Linked DNA regions of Caenorhabditis elegans. The gene in region 2 interacts genetically with the main gene of each other region. Each region holds a gene or a part of one and is shown on either strand. Other genes may lie near its edges.

The links. A genetic interaction does not mean that the proteins touch.
Region 1: of cnnm-1 (region 2) and cup-5, changing one suppresses a phenotype caused by changing the other (phenotypic suppression), as found in Caenorhabditis elegans (one study listed by BioGRID).

What each region holds. Positions count from the first base shown.
Region 1 is NC_003281.10:7,581,552-7,587,961, forward strand, and holds the start of cup-5 (Polycystin cation channel PKD1/PKD2 domain-containing protein), read left to right. Parts: upstream 1-3,131; 5' UTR 3,132-3,137; coding exon 3,138-3,590; intron 3,591-3,639; coding exon 3,640-3,823; intron 3,824-3,867; coding exon 3,868-4,179; intron 4,180-4,545; coding exon 4,546-4,829; intron 4,830-4,908; coding exon of another isoform or gene 4,909-4,938; intron 4,939-5,110; coding exon 5,111-5,218; exon of another isoform or gene 5,219-5,238; coding exon of another isoform or gene 5,239-5,445; intron 5,446-5,498; coding exon of another isoform or gene 5,499-5,591; intron 5,592-5,635; coding exon of another isoform or gene 5,636-5,770; intron 5,771-5,817; coding exon of another isoform or gene 5,818-5,979; intron 5,980-6,025; coding exon of another isoform or gene 6,026-6,235; intron 6,236-6,279; coding exon of another isoform or gene 6,280-6,410. Other genes in the region: gda-2 (CMP/dCMP-type deaminase domain-containing protein), read right to left, coding at 561-832, 1,239-1,428; R13A5.15 (Serpentine receptor class gamma), read right to left, coding at 5,239-5,445, 5,499-5,591, 5,636-5,770, 5,818-5,979, 6,026-6,235, 6,280-6,410.
Region 2 is NC_003282.8:17,203,434-17,209,843, reverse strand, and holds the start of cnnm-1 (Metal transporter cnnm-1), read left to right. Parts: upstream 1-2,998; 5' UTR 2,999-3,038; coding exon 3,039-3,197; intron 3,198-3,207; exon of another isoform or gene 3,208-3,228; intron 3,229-3,566; exon of another isoform or gene 3,567-3,587; intron 3,588-3,624; exon of another isoform or gene 3,625-3,645; intron 3,646-3,836; exon of another isoform or gene 3,837-3,857; intron 3,858-3,879; exon of another isoform or gene 3,880-3,900; intron 3,901-3,927; exon of another isoform or gene 3,928-3,948; intron 3,949-4,096; exon of another isoform or gene 4,097-4,117; intron 4,118-4,250; coding exon 4,251-4,351; intron 4,352-4,738; exon of another isoform or gene 4,739-4,759; intron 4,760-4,763; exon of another isoform or gene 4,764-4,784; intron 4,785-5,026; coding exon 5,027-5,306; intron 5,307-5,431; exon of another isoform or gene 5,432-5,452; intron 5,453-5,492; exon of another isoform or gene 5,493-5,513; intron 5,514-5,793; exon of another isoform or gene 5,794-5,814; intron 5,815-5,839; coding exon 5,840-6,231; intron 6,232-6,333; exon of another isoform or gene 6,334-6,354; intron 6,355-6,410. UniProt on the Caenorhabditis elegans protein: Probable metal transporter. Probably acts redundantly with the other metal transport proteins cnnm-2, cnnm-3, cnnm-4 and cnnm-5 to regulate Mg(2+) homeostasis. Promotes postembryonic gonad development by regulating Mg(2+) levels, probably via AMPK signaling.

The DNA.
Region 1 (6,410 bases), on a different chromosome or scaffold from region 2:
CCCGATGTGAACCCTGAAAACAAAATAAAAAAGGTATATGATCCATCGTATCCACTAGAAAAACGCGGCAAAGAAAAATAACTTTTGCTTAAATTGAAGAAAAGTTTAAAAAAGAGTTGAGCAATGCGGTGCAACAATAATGGAAGAAAAGTGCTCTACAAAATTTTCTGAAAACATTATTTTCTTACGATTTAAAATTATCTATTCGAACTCATGCTTTCCAAATTTGAAATACCGTATTTACTCTATTAGTCTTATATGCAAGATGTTATGGGACATTGCAAACTTTTTCCAAGATTCTGTTTTTATTTGAAAGGCCTAGTAAAAGTAACTAGATATTTACATTTTTGTATAAATTTTAGTTTTTGATAAGCAAATTACAAGTCAATTAAAACCTTCAAATACAAACGTCATCTACATTCTCCCAACCTTCGTCTTTTTTCCTGTAATCAATTATTCATATTTGCTGCTCCCATATGCTCACACTCCTATACGTTTATTTATAATGCATTACTTTTTTGCAACCAACAAATGACAAAAACCAGAGAATTTGTTTATATTTAATAAAGTTCTTTGTTATCCTTCTTTGACCAAAGTTGGAATGGCTCTAAGTAGTTGTCCACCTTGAATTGTTCCAACTTTCGTTTATCATCCGATTTTGGGTTTTGAAGGAACTCATGGAACTCATGATCTCCAAATCCGATATTCGCGGCGTCTTGTGACGTGGCACCGTAGTAAATTGCATCGACACGAGACCAGAGAGCAGCTCCCATACACATTGGACATGGATAGCAGGAAGTGTAGAGTTGACAACCGGATAGATCAAAGTTGTCTGGATAAATAATAGATATATGGCCAATTTGAATATAATTATATAACAGTAGATAGGATAAATAGGGAAAATAAATTAAGACGCTTCTGATCTTTTAGCAGATCTCAAATTCTCACAAAACCCCTAATAATTAGTATTTCAGTAAAGGCTTGCATGGAATCCAGGAAGTAACTTCTTACCTAAATTAAATTAAAAAGTACAGTGAACCAAATTATAGGCAATCAAAAAAGTCAAAAACCAAACACTGAAGATCAAAGCAGTAAGTGATGTCCAAACAGTGATATCTTGTAAGGAATTTACTAAATAAAAAACAATTGTAAAAAATTATAAATTATTTTCGAAATTTTGGATTCAAGAAACTAATTTTGTTTCCTTTACTAAAGTTAAAAACGAAAGGAATACTTACCGACATTCTTACAAGTATTTCTGATGGCTGTAACTTCGGCGTGTGCTGTTGGATCCTTGGTGACTAAAACCATGTTATGCCCACTACCGATTACCTTCCCATCCTTGACAATTACAGCTCCAAATGGTCCACCGTCTCCCTTCTCCATTCCTTTCTTGGCTTCTTCGATTGCGAGTTTCATGAATTCCATTTTTCTGAATTTTCAAGAAATGTTTCGATTAACCGAGTTTTTTCACGGATGAAAAATTTATTAGAAACAAAAATAAATAAAAAAATATCAAAACTACAAATGAATGAATATGTTGTAAAAACTATAGTTGCCAAAAACTTTCACTTTAACAAAAATTTGACATCGAGAGAGTACGCCAGAGATGAAGAAAAAGAAGGCGTGGGAAAAGAACAAAAAAGGAAAAGAGCGATCGGAAGCCAGTCAACCAAACAAAAAATGATGATGAACTGAATATTGTGGAGGTGTTTTCGATAGTTGCAGACATGGAAACGTATTAGATTTTAAAAATTTGTGTGTGGCAAGAGGAATTTTGATATCGAAGTTCAATAAATAGAAATTCAGAATTTAATATTTTATTGAAATCACAGGAAATTTAAAAATTGCAGAGACTTTTTTCGATATTTGGGGTACGACCAAAAAAAAAGAACAAAAATTGAAGTAGTTGTCAAACGTTGCCTTCTGTAAACTTTCAAAAACGGTACCTACTGTCTCACTGCGCCTTCAAAAAACGACAGTAATCCATTGCCCGTTTGTTAGTTGTGCTCTTCCTTTTCTCACTATTTGTATCTAAAAAGAAACAGATAAAATTATACGACAGAATATGAATATGACTAAAAATTCAAAGAAAAATTTCAATGGTTTACTGTGGTTGTTAAAGGTGCATACCTTTTTTGCGGCGGCTACGATTTGAAAATGTTCGCGCTGTGAACCAGCCCGAAATTTTTGTAATAAATTGAAATCTTTCGCAACTGGGTAATAACTCAAACTTTTTTAACTACAACTTTATAACCTGCAATTTCACTTTTAAAATGTGCGTCATTCTATGCAAATTTCTGAATTTATAATTCTCTCCGAGTTTATCCATATTAACGTCATTGCAAAATACTATGTACATGTGCCCTCAAAAAATTTTCCAATTTCTCTTTACTGAAAGTACTACGCTTTTTATTTTCTTTGTGTGCACCTTTCAAAAGTCATGCTCAATTTTGTATAGATTCCAACCGCTATTTATCTACGGAAGGAAAAAAAAACCCAACACAGAAAAAAACAAATTGACGTGTCTCTAGCTTCCCTGCGCTTCTCTCTCTCAAATGCTCTTTTATCTATCCCATGTTCGCCATTTACATCGGCTCTAAATAACACCTCTAAGCTTTCTTGAAAGATGAGTAGAATATTCAGAAGCCAAGCTTCGAGATCGATGCGGTTAGAGCAAATTCCCCTCGAATCGGTGAGATAATAAATGTATTGTTTTAAGGGTTGAAAACTGCAAAATTGCATGTTTGCATGGTCTTAACCAATTTTTGATTGACTGATAACGATAATTTCTGATAATTTTGGACTTTAGGTGAGTATTTCTTTTTAGTTCTTCGTTTTTTAAAGAGAAAATAAATACCATAAGATTGACCGGCGTCAGATATTGTGCATGGTACGCAAAGACACCGCGCGGTGTACCTCACTAGTAGGATTTACGCGGGCGTTGGTCTCGGAAAATTATTTTTTAATTGTTCAAACAATTATTTGTTTTTGTTTTTTATAAATAGCATGTTAATCATAAAAATATATATTTTTTAAAAATTAGAATTCATATTTTGTACGCTTATATTAACCGCCACTCGCATCGAAATCAATTTTTCATTAATACAACGTTATTTAATATTTCATGATTTCAGATGTCTCGCCGGAGCACAACTGATCGTTCAGACTTCAACGATAATGCTTCGAATGCTTCTTCAAATGCTTCTCGAAGGCCAACAATAAATTTTCAAGAAATAATGGAAGATCTTCCGCACCACGAAAGAGAAACCGGCGAACGTCTTCGCCGTCATCTCCAATTCTTTTTTATGAATCCAATGGAGAAATGGAAAGTCAGACATCAACTGCCCTATAAGTTGGTTCTACAAGTGCTCAAAATAGTTTTCGTTACCATGCAATTAATTTTATTCGCGGAAATGCGCATGTCTCATGTTGATTTTCTCGAAGACACCACAACAGTTATGAGACATCGATTTTTAAAAGAATGGAATGACGACAGAGATGCATTACAATATCCACCAGCTGAAGGAAGATATTCGGTTTATGATGATCAAGGATTATCCGAGCATTTGAGCTTTTTGATTAATTCTGTAAGTCGCTTTGGAGAACTATCTTGTAAAATGATCAATATTGTTTCAGTATTATTCAATTCGCAATGATTCATTTGCTTCATTTTCCTATGACGTTGTAAGTCATCCATCTGGAAATCTTGGCGCTCAAATTAGTTTTGAATCTATTCCACCTATTGAAGTTCTTATCGATCGAATTTCCAACGTAACAGTGAACAATAACACTTATAATTTCGACATTCGTGAAGTGAAAGGTATATAAACATACTATTATGAAATAAAAATAGTTTATTTCTAGACACGAAACGTCTGAATCTAACAGAAACGGAAGTCTTCCAAATCGGACAATCCGATGATGCTGTTCGAGATATTCTCGCCACTCGTGGAATCACATTTCTCCCAGAAGACGCGCTCAAGATATCGACGGTCCAATTCAAATTTCGACTACGAACAATTCATTATTCACCAACAGCCGGAGATCAGAAACCAGAATGCTATAAGATATCAGTTTCTATCAAATTTGATAATTCAAGGCATACAGGACAGGTTCATGTCACTCTATCAACTGTGGTTTCTTATGTGAATGTTTGTAATGGAAGGATCATCAAAGGTGAACACTTCACTTTTTTCAAATTTTCAAAGTAAAGCTAGTAAAAATTATAGATTATGTAATCGAAAATTACCCAATTAACATAGAATTCCAATAATTAATGGTGAAGAATCATCAAATGGGATGCTATTAAATATAACTTCAAATCTTTTATAAAAGTCTTTCTGAAACTTCGTGTTAAAATCTACATAACTTTATTTGCCTAAAAAAGTTCTTCTTGAGAGTAACATTTAGATTTTAGGTATTCAAAAATTTCCCAATTAACTTGAAATATTTAACTTCTAGGTGTACTTCTGTGTTTAAATAAAAATGAATTTTGTAATATTAAAATATCAAAATATAAAAATTCAATCAATCTCGAGTTAGGTCAAGTTTCAGGTGTTGGATGGTCATTTGACACACTTTTAATCGGCGGAACCGATATTTTCGTTCTCATTCTTTGCATTCTATCACTGATTCTCTGCTGCCGAGCCCTCATCAAAGCCCATCTACTTCAAATCAAAACAAGCGACTATTTTGAGAATGTACTCAAAAATAAGATCACCGTTACCGATCAACTCGATTTTCTGAATTTGTGGTATGTGATGATTGTGGTCAACGATGCGCTTATTATCATTGGAACTGTTGCAAAAATATCCATCGAGTTTCAGGTAATTTTTATAAAAATTTAAGTTTAATTCAAATGAAAAATTCCCTCCAATACTCAAACATAAAATATATTAAATTTAGTTCAACAAAAATACTTTTACTACAAGAAATGTGAGTAAAAATTTATATTTCCAATAACTTCCTTTCTGTATCTGTCCGTCCCATTGTTTCCATCAACTTTTCATCCCGGGATTTATCGAAACCAAATTGCCCCTCTGTATTGATTAGAAAATTATTTTCCATTAATTCTTGCATAAAACTAAGATTATTGCTTTCTTTTCAGGATTTCGACAATTCCCTCTTCACGCTAACTTCGATTTTCCTCGGAATGGGAGCTTTGCTGGTATATGTCGGAGTTCTTCGATATTTTGGATTTTTCAGTCAATATAATGTGAGTTGTTTCAAATTGCTTTATTTCATTACAACAACATTTGATCGTGTTGGAATACCAACTCCGGATATGGAATTACTTGTTATTGTAGTCTTATGCGAGTGTACTGTAGTGTAATACATTATCCAAGGTGGGCAACATATGGAAATATCCAGTGCGAATGCACGTAGATCTTGACATGTTTCACGAATGAATGACGAAGTACCAGTGTAGATCATTATCAGAGCCTATAAAAAATTTTTAAAAAAGTAAATACTCCAATAATTCATTATTTCCTTACCTGTAATAAAGCCTGCAGTACCAGTGAAAAACATACCACTAACGCTATAGAAAACATTGCAATTTCTACTCGTCGTGTTCTTTTTCGATGAAACTTAAAATTGATTATGCTTCTAATATAATATTATTCAAACTAACTTCGTTCTGAGTACCACTAGCCGTTTTTACTGTTTGAATTGTCGTTTTGTACTTAACAATTGTTGTGAAATTCGCTGCAACACATATTACGGCGAGAAGAATCGACACAAAACACAGCGCCGTACTGTTTCTAGGCTGTAATTTTATTGATTTTCATATTTTGTGTTTGGTGGAAACCATACCAAAAATCCTATCAACAGTTTCACTCTGTATACCATTTGATAATTGGATCGATTTTCGTATAGTGGTAAGAAATAAGCGTCATAGGTGACTAAGTGCCATGTAGTAATTAATGGAAGAATGTAGACAAGTGCGATTGCACTGCGGACGTTCTTTTGCCAAAACTTTAATTTTTTAGGAGATTCATATTTTTCGGATGGGAAGGCTCACCGAATTACAGTAATACGGGAAAAGTACAGAAGTCATTCGATTGATGCATATTAATGTTATTGAATAAAAGTTCACATAGATCAAGTAATACGAGAGAAAGTAGATTATAGTCATAGGTATTCCTTCTGGGATGTATGAAGGAAGATTTTCAAAAAGACCAGAAATTGGAAGACGTGTAAATAGAAAGTCGATTATAAAAAGTGCAACATTCTGAAAAAGTTTACACTTTTTATCCGAAAGGTCTATGTACTTACAATATAGAAATCATTTGTGAAAATCACATTGAAATAGCTGCTAGTGACGCTTTCCTTCGTCAAAAACGTGCGGCATTTATGATATGCTATAAATGATGGAACAGTGTAGAGTAGATGAATTAGAAGTAGAG
Region 2 (6,410 bases):
TATTCATTTGTAACTCTTATTTTTCGTTTCCTTTGTTTTTTCATCCTCTTTTACAGTAATTTCTAAAATTTCCTGTTTCAACGACAACATGAAGAAAAGAGTTCAAAACTTAAATATTCAGCCGAGCCGTTTTTGATGTGCCAACATCAATGTAAACCTACTATTTATTAAAAAAGAAAGATCATTTCACAGAATATAAATGCCTGCTTTAGAAATCTCTCTTTCGAAACTATTATTTTTCTCAATAAATCGTTGACCACTGACCTCAAAGATGCTTCCCCCATTTTCTCCCCCCATCGTGTCAATTCCAATCTTAATATCTTTCTCATCCTGCGTCTCCCCTCTCTCGTCTTCTTTTTTGCCATTCTCAAGCGTAATACGTTCGGTAATATGATACGACAAGGACTTTCTCCATTTACTTTTTTTTTGGATTTTTTCATAAGTTTCAATGTTTTTTATATTTATTTTTTAGCCCAACGTTATACCCTTTTTCAATGTTTTTTATCAGATTAGAGGTCTTGATTAGCAATGTAAGTCGATAATTAAAAGATTAGGAAAAATATGAACCTGAAATTGCATTTGCGGGCGGTGCAAAGCGTTTTCCAGTTTCTTATTTCCTGTTTCAACGACAACATGAAGAAAAGAGTTCAAAACTTAAATATTCAGTCGAGCCGTTTTTAATGTGCCAACATCAATGTATTGATCAATTTGAATTTAAAAGTTAAAAAAATGTAGAAGAAGTGAAACAATTTTTGATTATTTCAACAAAAAAACACACATTTTTTCGAGTTTTCAAAATTATAATGCTAAAAGAAAATTGGAAACAATTCGTTATGGTTTCAAAACTTAGAAAATGTTTTTTACAACTTTATTAACATTTAAAATTTTTTGTTTCTTTTGGAGTTTATGCAATTCTAAAATAAGAAATGATTACATAATTATATATTTTAATTTTTTAAATAAAAAAATATGAAACAGTAAAATTTTGTGAAATTTTTTTTTTAATATTTACATCATTTTCACTAAGAAATCCGTGTCTTATGAACCAGTAACCCCCGGAAATTTGCTTCACTGGTTATTGCTGAAATGTTTGAAATATTTATTTTATTTTGGAAGAAAAACTGTTTTGATTTTACTTTTTCAGCTTCACGCAAACACTGTGATTTTTTTTGAACATTTTTTTGAAAGAAAAAAGTTCTAAATTTTGATTTTGAAAAAAAAAACGCTTTTTTCAAACTGTAGTGTTCCCACAACAAGGCAGACACAAAAATGTTTTTCTTCTCTGTTTCACAAATTCTACAATAACTAATACTTCTTGGATTTGGGCGCATCTTTCTGATCCGTCAAAATAGTAATTTGGTCTGGGAGAACATTTTTTGAACGTTTTTCTTTAAAAACAATTTTGTGTATTTCTAAACATTTTTTAAAAATATTTTCTAAATAAAAAAAAAATTACACGTCGATTTCAACGTTGTAAACAAAGTCAAAACAGTTAAATATTGGTACAAAATCATTGAAATGTTGGCTTGAAGTTGCTTTAATACTCTGAAAACACTGTTTTTGCTAAAAAAAAAATAACTTCAGTGTAATTATATACATTCTTGATTGATTGAAGCTATAAATTTTTTTTTAATTTACAAATTGTTCAATAAAACTTTTTTTCCCTTTTCAACATAGTTTCAAAAAAAGTTTCAAAAATTGACCGGTCAATAGGTAATCTCCCTCATATATAGGCTCCCTCCTTGTTTGACCAGCACAAAGAACTCGGAATTCATCATATTTACAATCATTTAATAATAAGTCATGCGGCGGAGGCGGCAGAAAGTACACCCTATGTGAGTGTGTAAGTCAAAATGTGTATAGAAAATTGAATTTCTATGTTAAACCATTATTTAGTTTTTATTTTTTAAATCATATTCCGCGTTAGAATATGAAACAAATAATTAGGTAAATGTTATTTCTCGATGAACATTTTTTTTGATTTATCCACTTGTGAAACAAACTGTGTGAAACAATTTTTCAAAGTTATAAAAATACTGTTTCAAAACTGAGTTAGTTATAAAACATATGCAGTTTCACTACTATTTTGATTGAAAAATTTCAATATGGAGCCGTTTGAATATTATTCAACAATAATCTGTATTTTAAAAAATAAATATTTATTTTTCAAAATTAAAAAATGAAAACTCTGTTTCACATGTAGTTTCTTTTTTGGAAATTATATTACAGTTATTACAGTTAGAGAAGCATTAACATTTATTCAATGACTTCCGCTTCAAAAACAGTGACTGAAACAGTAGTTTTTGAAGTTAAAAATTAAAATTTTTCAAATTAGTTTTTTTGCTGAAAAACTTCACAACTATCTAATTTTTGGGTAGACATAATTTTTTATGCAACAGTGCATTTTTTCCTTTATATCATACGTTCCATTTTTTGAATATTTTTTCGTATGTTTCAAATTTCTGTTATCCGGATATATCCATAAACGTTTTTTATGAGGGCTTTTCAATGTAAAAGTCAAATAATGTCAAATGTAAAATTTTAAATTACTCAATTTAACTTTCGAATCCTCTTCCTCAAAATAAAAGAAAATAAAAAAAAATCGTAAAATTTGAGCAAAAAATTATGCTGTTTCAAGTTTAGTTTTTTTACTGAAAATAAAAAATTGCCTGACTTCCATCATATTTTTAGAGAGTATCATTTCTCCTATTCGCAGGTCATTGAAAATGTTCAAAAACTCCCAGTAACTAATGGAAGTGGCAGAGAAAATAGAAAAACTCGGCTACCAAATTGTGTTTCTCGGCCATGTGAAAAATTTAGTATATTTTCATCAACTCCATAGCCCCCTGCAGGAAAAATTTTGTACAGGGGCCCCTGTACAAAATTTTCGTGGTCACCAATTTTTTCGCGGCTACTTTTTATATTCTGTTTCAATGACTCTTCATATTCTCTCTCTCAATCTTCAAACCTTAATCTTTTGAATTTTCGTAATTTTCAGATTATCCCCCAACTCACCGCCTTATACGAGTCACCAGTGAATGTCTGCGTCATGTCTGCGTCTCCTCACTCTCTCGCTCTTCATATTAGGTCAATGCAACGTGACAGCTGCTCAGAATGGAGTCGACGATGAGGTGACCACGGTGACGGCGATATTGGATTCGGCGACAACGGCTGCTGCGGACAATTCTACAGTTCCGGTGAGTTTTTTCGGTGGAATAAGGACAATAAACAAAAGTTTGGTTTTTACTGGAACTTAAATTTTTTCTGAAACAGTGAATGTTTTTTATTTATTTTAAATCTGTTACAAGTTGGGTGATTCATTAATAAGTAATGTTTTTTGCGAAAAAAACACAAACAAAAATATAAGTCCTACCTTCATGCCTCAATGAGACCGCCATTAGGCGGCTGGTAGGTGCTGGACCTACCATGTCAGCAATGCACCTACTAACGCTGTCTGAATTAAAATATGAGATTTAGTTTAAAAAATTAACATATTTGTCTTGTAAACACAGTAACAGACAATTAAAATTTTCTTGAAAAATGTAATAGATTCAATCAAAATGGAAAACCAAATTTTACGGTTTCGAACATTGTTTTAACTAATCTTGAGCTCATATAAATTGTTGAAACAGTGGATTTTTGGGCCACCGAAAATTTCACATTCCAAATTTTCATTTAAAAAATCGACATCCTAAATTGTCTGGAACAAATTGGATTTCCGAGACAAACAAACTTTTCACAGTGTCTTCTTTCCTGAAATCGAAAAATAAACTGCTATAAAAATTATTTACCGTTTCCAACAGCCTAGAACAAAACAACAGTTAATTGTCCAGCAATTCCATTACCGTTGAATGCATTGTTTTTAGTTGTATATAATAAAACTTTTCTACAGCTATTTTATCAATGCAACTTTTTAATGTTCACTAATAAGCAATTGTGGAAGCAGTGTATTTTTTAAAATTAAAATCAAAAATTGGTTGCGCATTGGAGTCTCAAATAACCGAATAAAATGATAAATCATTCCGAAAGTTTTGATTTCTCAAAATTTTCAGTCAACATTTTGGTAATTTACCAAAATTTTGGACTTTTACAATAATTTTGGCCCCTAAATCTTTTAACTAAATAAACGCTATATGTTGGCTCAAAAAATTAGTTGAAACAGTGGATTTTTTTGGTTAAAAATTTCGAAACTGACGACTGCCAAAAAACTGTTATTCGAGTTTCTGCAATTCTTGACTTTCAATTTTCAGACCCAATCAGCGAGCAACAACAACACAAGTCAGAGCTCGAAAATTCCAACGATTTTTGGAATGAGAGTCGAACTTCCAGCTGACGATCCGTTTGGTTATGAGTGAGTTTTTAAAACAATCTTGCCAGGTGGCCGTGAAAGATTTTTAATAAAAAATAATTTATCATAAAACAGATAGCTTGGTTATTGTTCTGTTTGCGTAGAAAGTTGTTGTACAGAACAGTAATTCTGTTATTCATTTGTACATCTTGTTAATTCCTGTAATCTTACGAAAAACTAGTTATTTTCGAATTTTTTTTCTGTGTCAAAAATTTTTTTTTCTTAAATTGTTTTGGGCAAATGTTTGTTAAATCCATTCAAATTGAGATAATCAACTGTTAAACTGTACCCGGGACACAAATAGAAACAATAATCGGACGTTGATCAAGAAAACAGTTTGAAACTATTTTGAGTTGAGCTGAATTTTTTCTTATTTCAAATTTGACTGAAAAGCTCCTAGTTTGTATGCGAACATTTCATGCGCAACTCTTCATGATAATTAAGGATGTTTGGTACTGTCAAATTTTTAGAAAAAAATTATTTCAACATTAACAACCGTTGCAGAGTATTTCATCTTTTCTGACCATGTAAAAATGGTCTCAAAAAATTCAAAGTTCTCCTCTCCCGCAAATTTTATCAAAGGGTCCAATTTTTTCAAACCAATGTATTTTTTTGTTTCGTGGCGGGACCCAAAAATCTAAGGAAATTTCATGGTTTTATAAAACTAAAATTTTTGAGCAAACACGGCGTCTGTTCAGTAACTCCAGAAGAAGAGTTCAAAGTGGTAATCTATGGAAATCATTTGGACAAAATCCACCAAATCATCTGGACATTTACGAATAACTGCTCGGAGCCAGCCTACGTCATCGACGCGCTGAACCATTTCAAAGTGCACTTCAACCATAAAGCCACGTTTCATTTGACTTTGAAGCTTCTTCCAGAAATGGTTCATGCCTATAAAATGTGTGTGAAACCGAAGGTTGCACCAGGATCACCGCCGCTCGGGGAAATTTATCCGGTTCGTTGTAGTTCATGTTTTGAAAATAAGTTTTGACTGGAAATTTGAACTTCGCGCTAAATTTTTGGCATAATTTATTACTGTTTCATATTTTGCATAAAATTTGTGAACGTTATATACGGGACTTGGAGACGGATCCTATTGTTACACTTTTGCAAATTTTGCAGGCTGACAAAAAGTAGCAGTTTTCCAAATGAACTTTTCAAATCAATGTTTACAAAATCTGCTTAATTATGTAATTGTAGTGAAACGAAAATTTTTTAAATCAGCAATTTGATTAGTTTTCCAGTTTCTTAAATGGTTATTTTAAAACTGTGGAAATTGTTCAAATCACTTGAAGATTTCCGAACGTAACAACATACAAATTTTCAATCAACTTTCAAGGTTTAAAAATCGATTACAACAAAAATTGGAAAACAGAAAACGCCTCAAAATGTCTACTGTTTCAAGTTCTCCACATAAACTTCAAAACGATAATTTACAGCGCTCTGCAAATCACACTATCTGAAATAAAAAAAAATCCAAATTTCCAGCTCGACGACATCTCCACGTGGCTCACCACAGAACGTCCACCGAAAGAATATTTCCTTCCACTTCCACTTCAAATTGCATGCATTGGATTCCTTCTCTGTCTATCTGCACTTTTCTCAGGATTGACATTGGGCTTAATGTCCCTGACACCCCAAGAACTGGAGCTTGTCATTAAATCTGGAGCCATAAAAGAACAAAAGTGTGCAGCAAAGATCTTGCCGGTCCGAAAGAAAGGAAACCTTTTGCTATGCTCACTTTTACTGGGAAATGTCATTGTAAACTCGGCGATTTCTATTTTAATGGGTGAATTGACGACTGGAATCTATGCACTTATTGGTTCAACTATGGGAATTGTCATTTTCGGAGAGATTTTGCCACAGAGTATTTGTGTCAAGTTAGTTAACTTTTTTCTAAAAGTTTTTTTTCAGAAAATTTTTGAAACAGTGAGAAATTTAAATGCATTTAAAACTGATTCGTTAGTATAGTTTTTAGTAAACTTCTGTCTTTTAATTACTCAATGCTCGATTCACCTAAACAAAAATAAATAAAAACATTTTGAAACAGGTTTTTTTA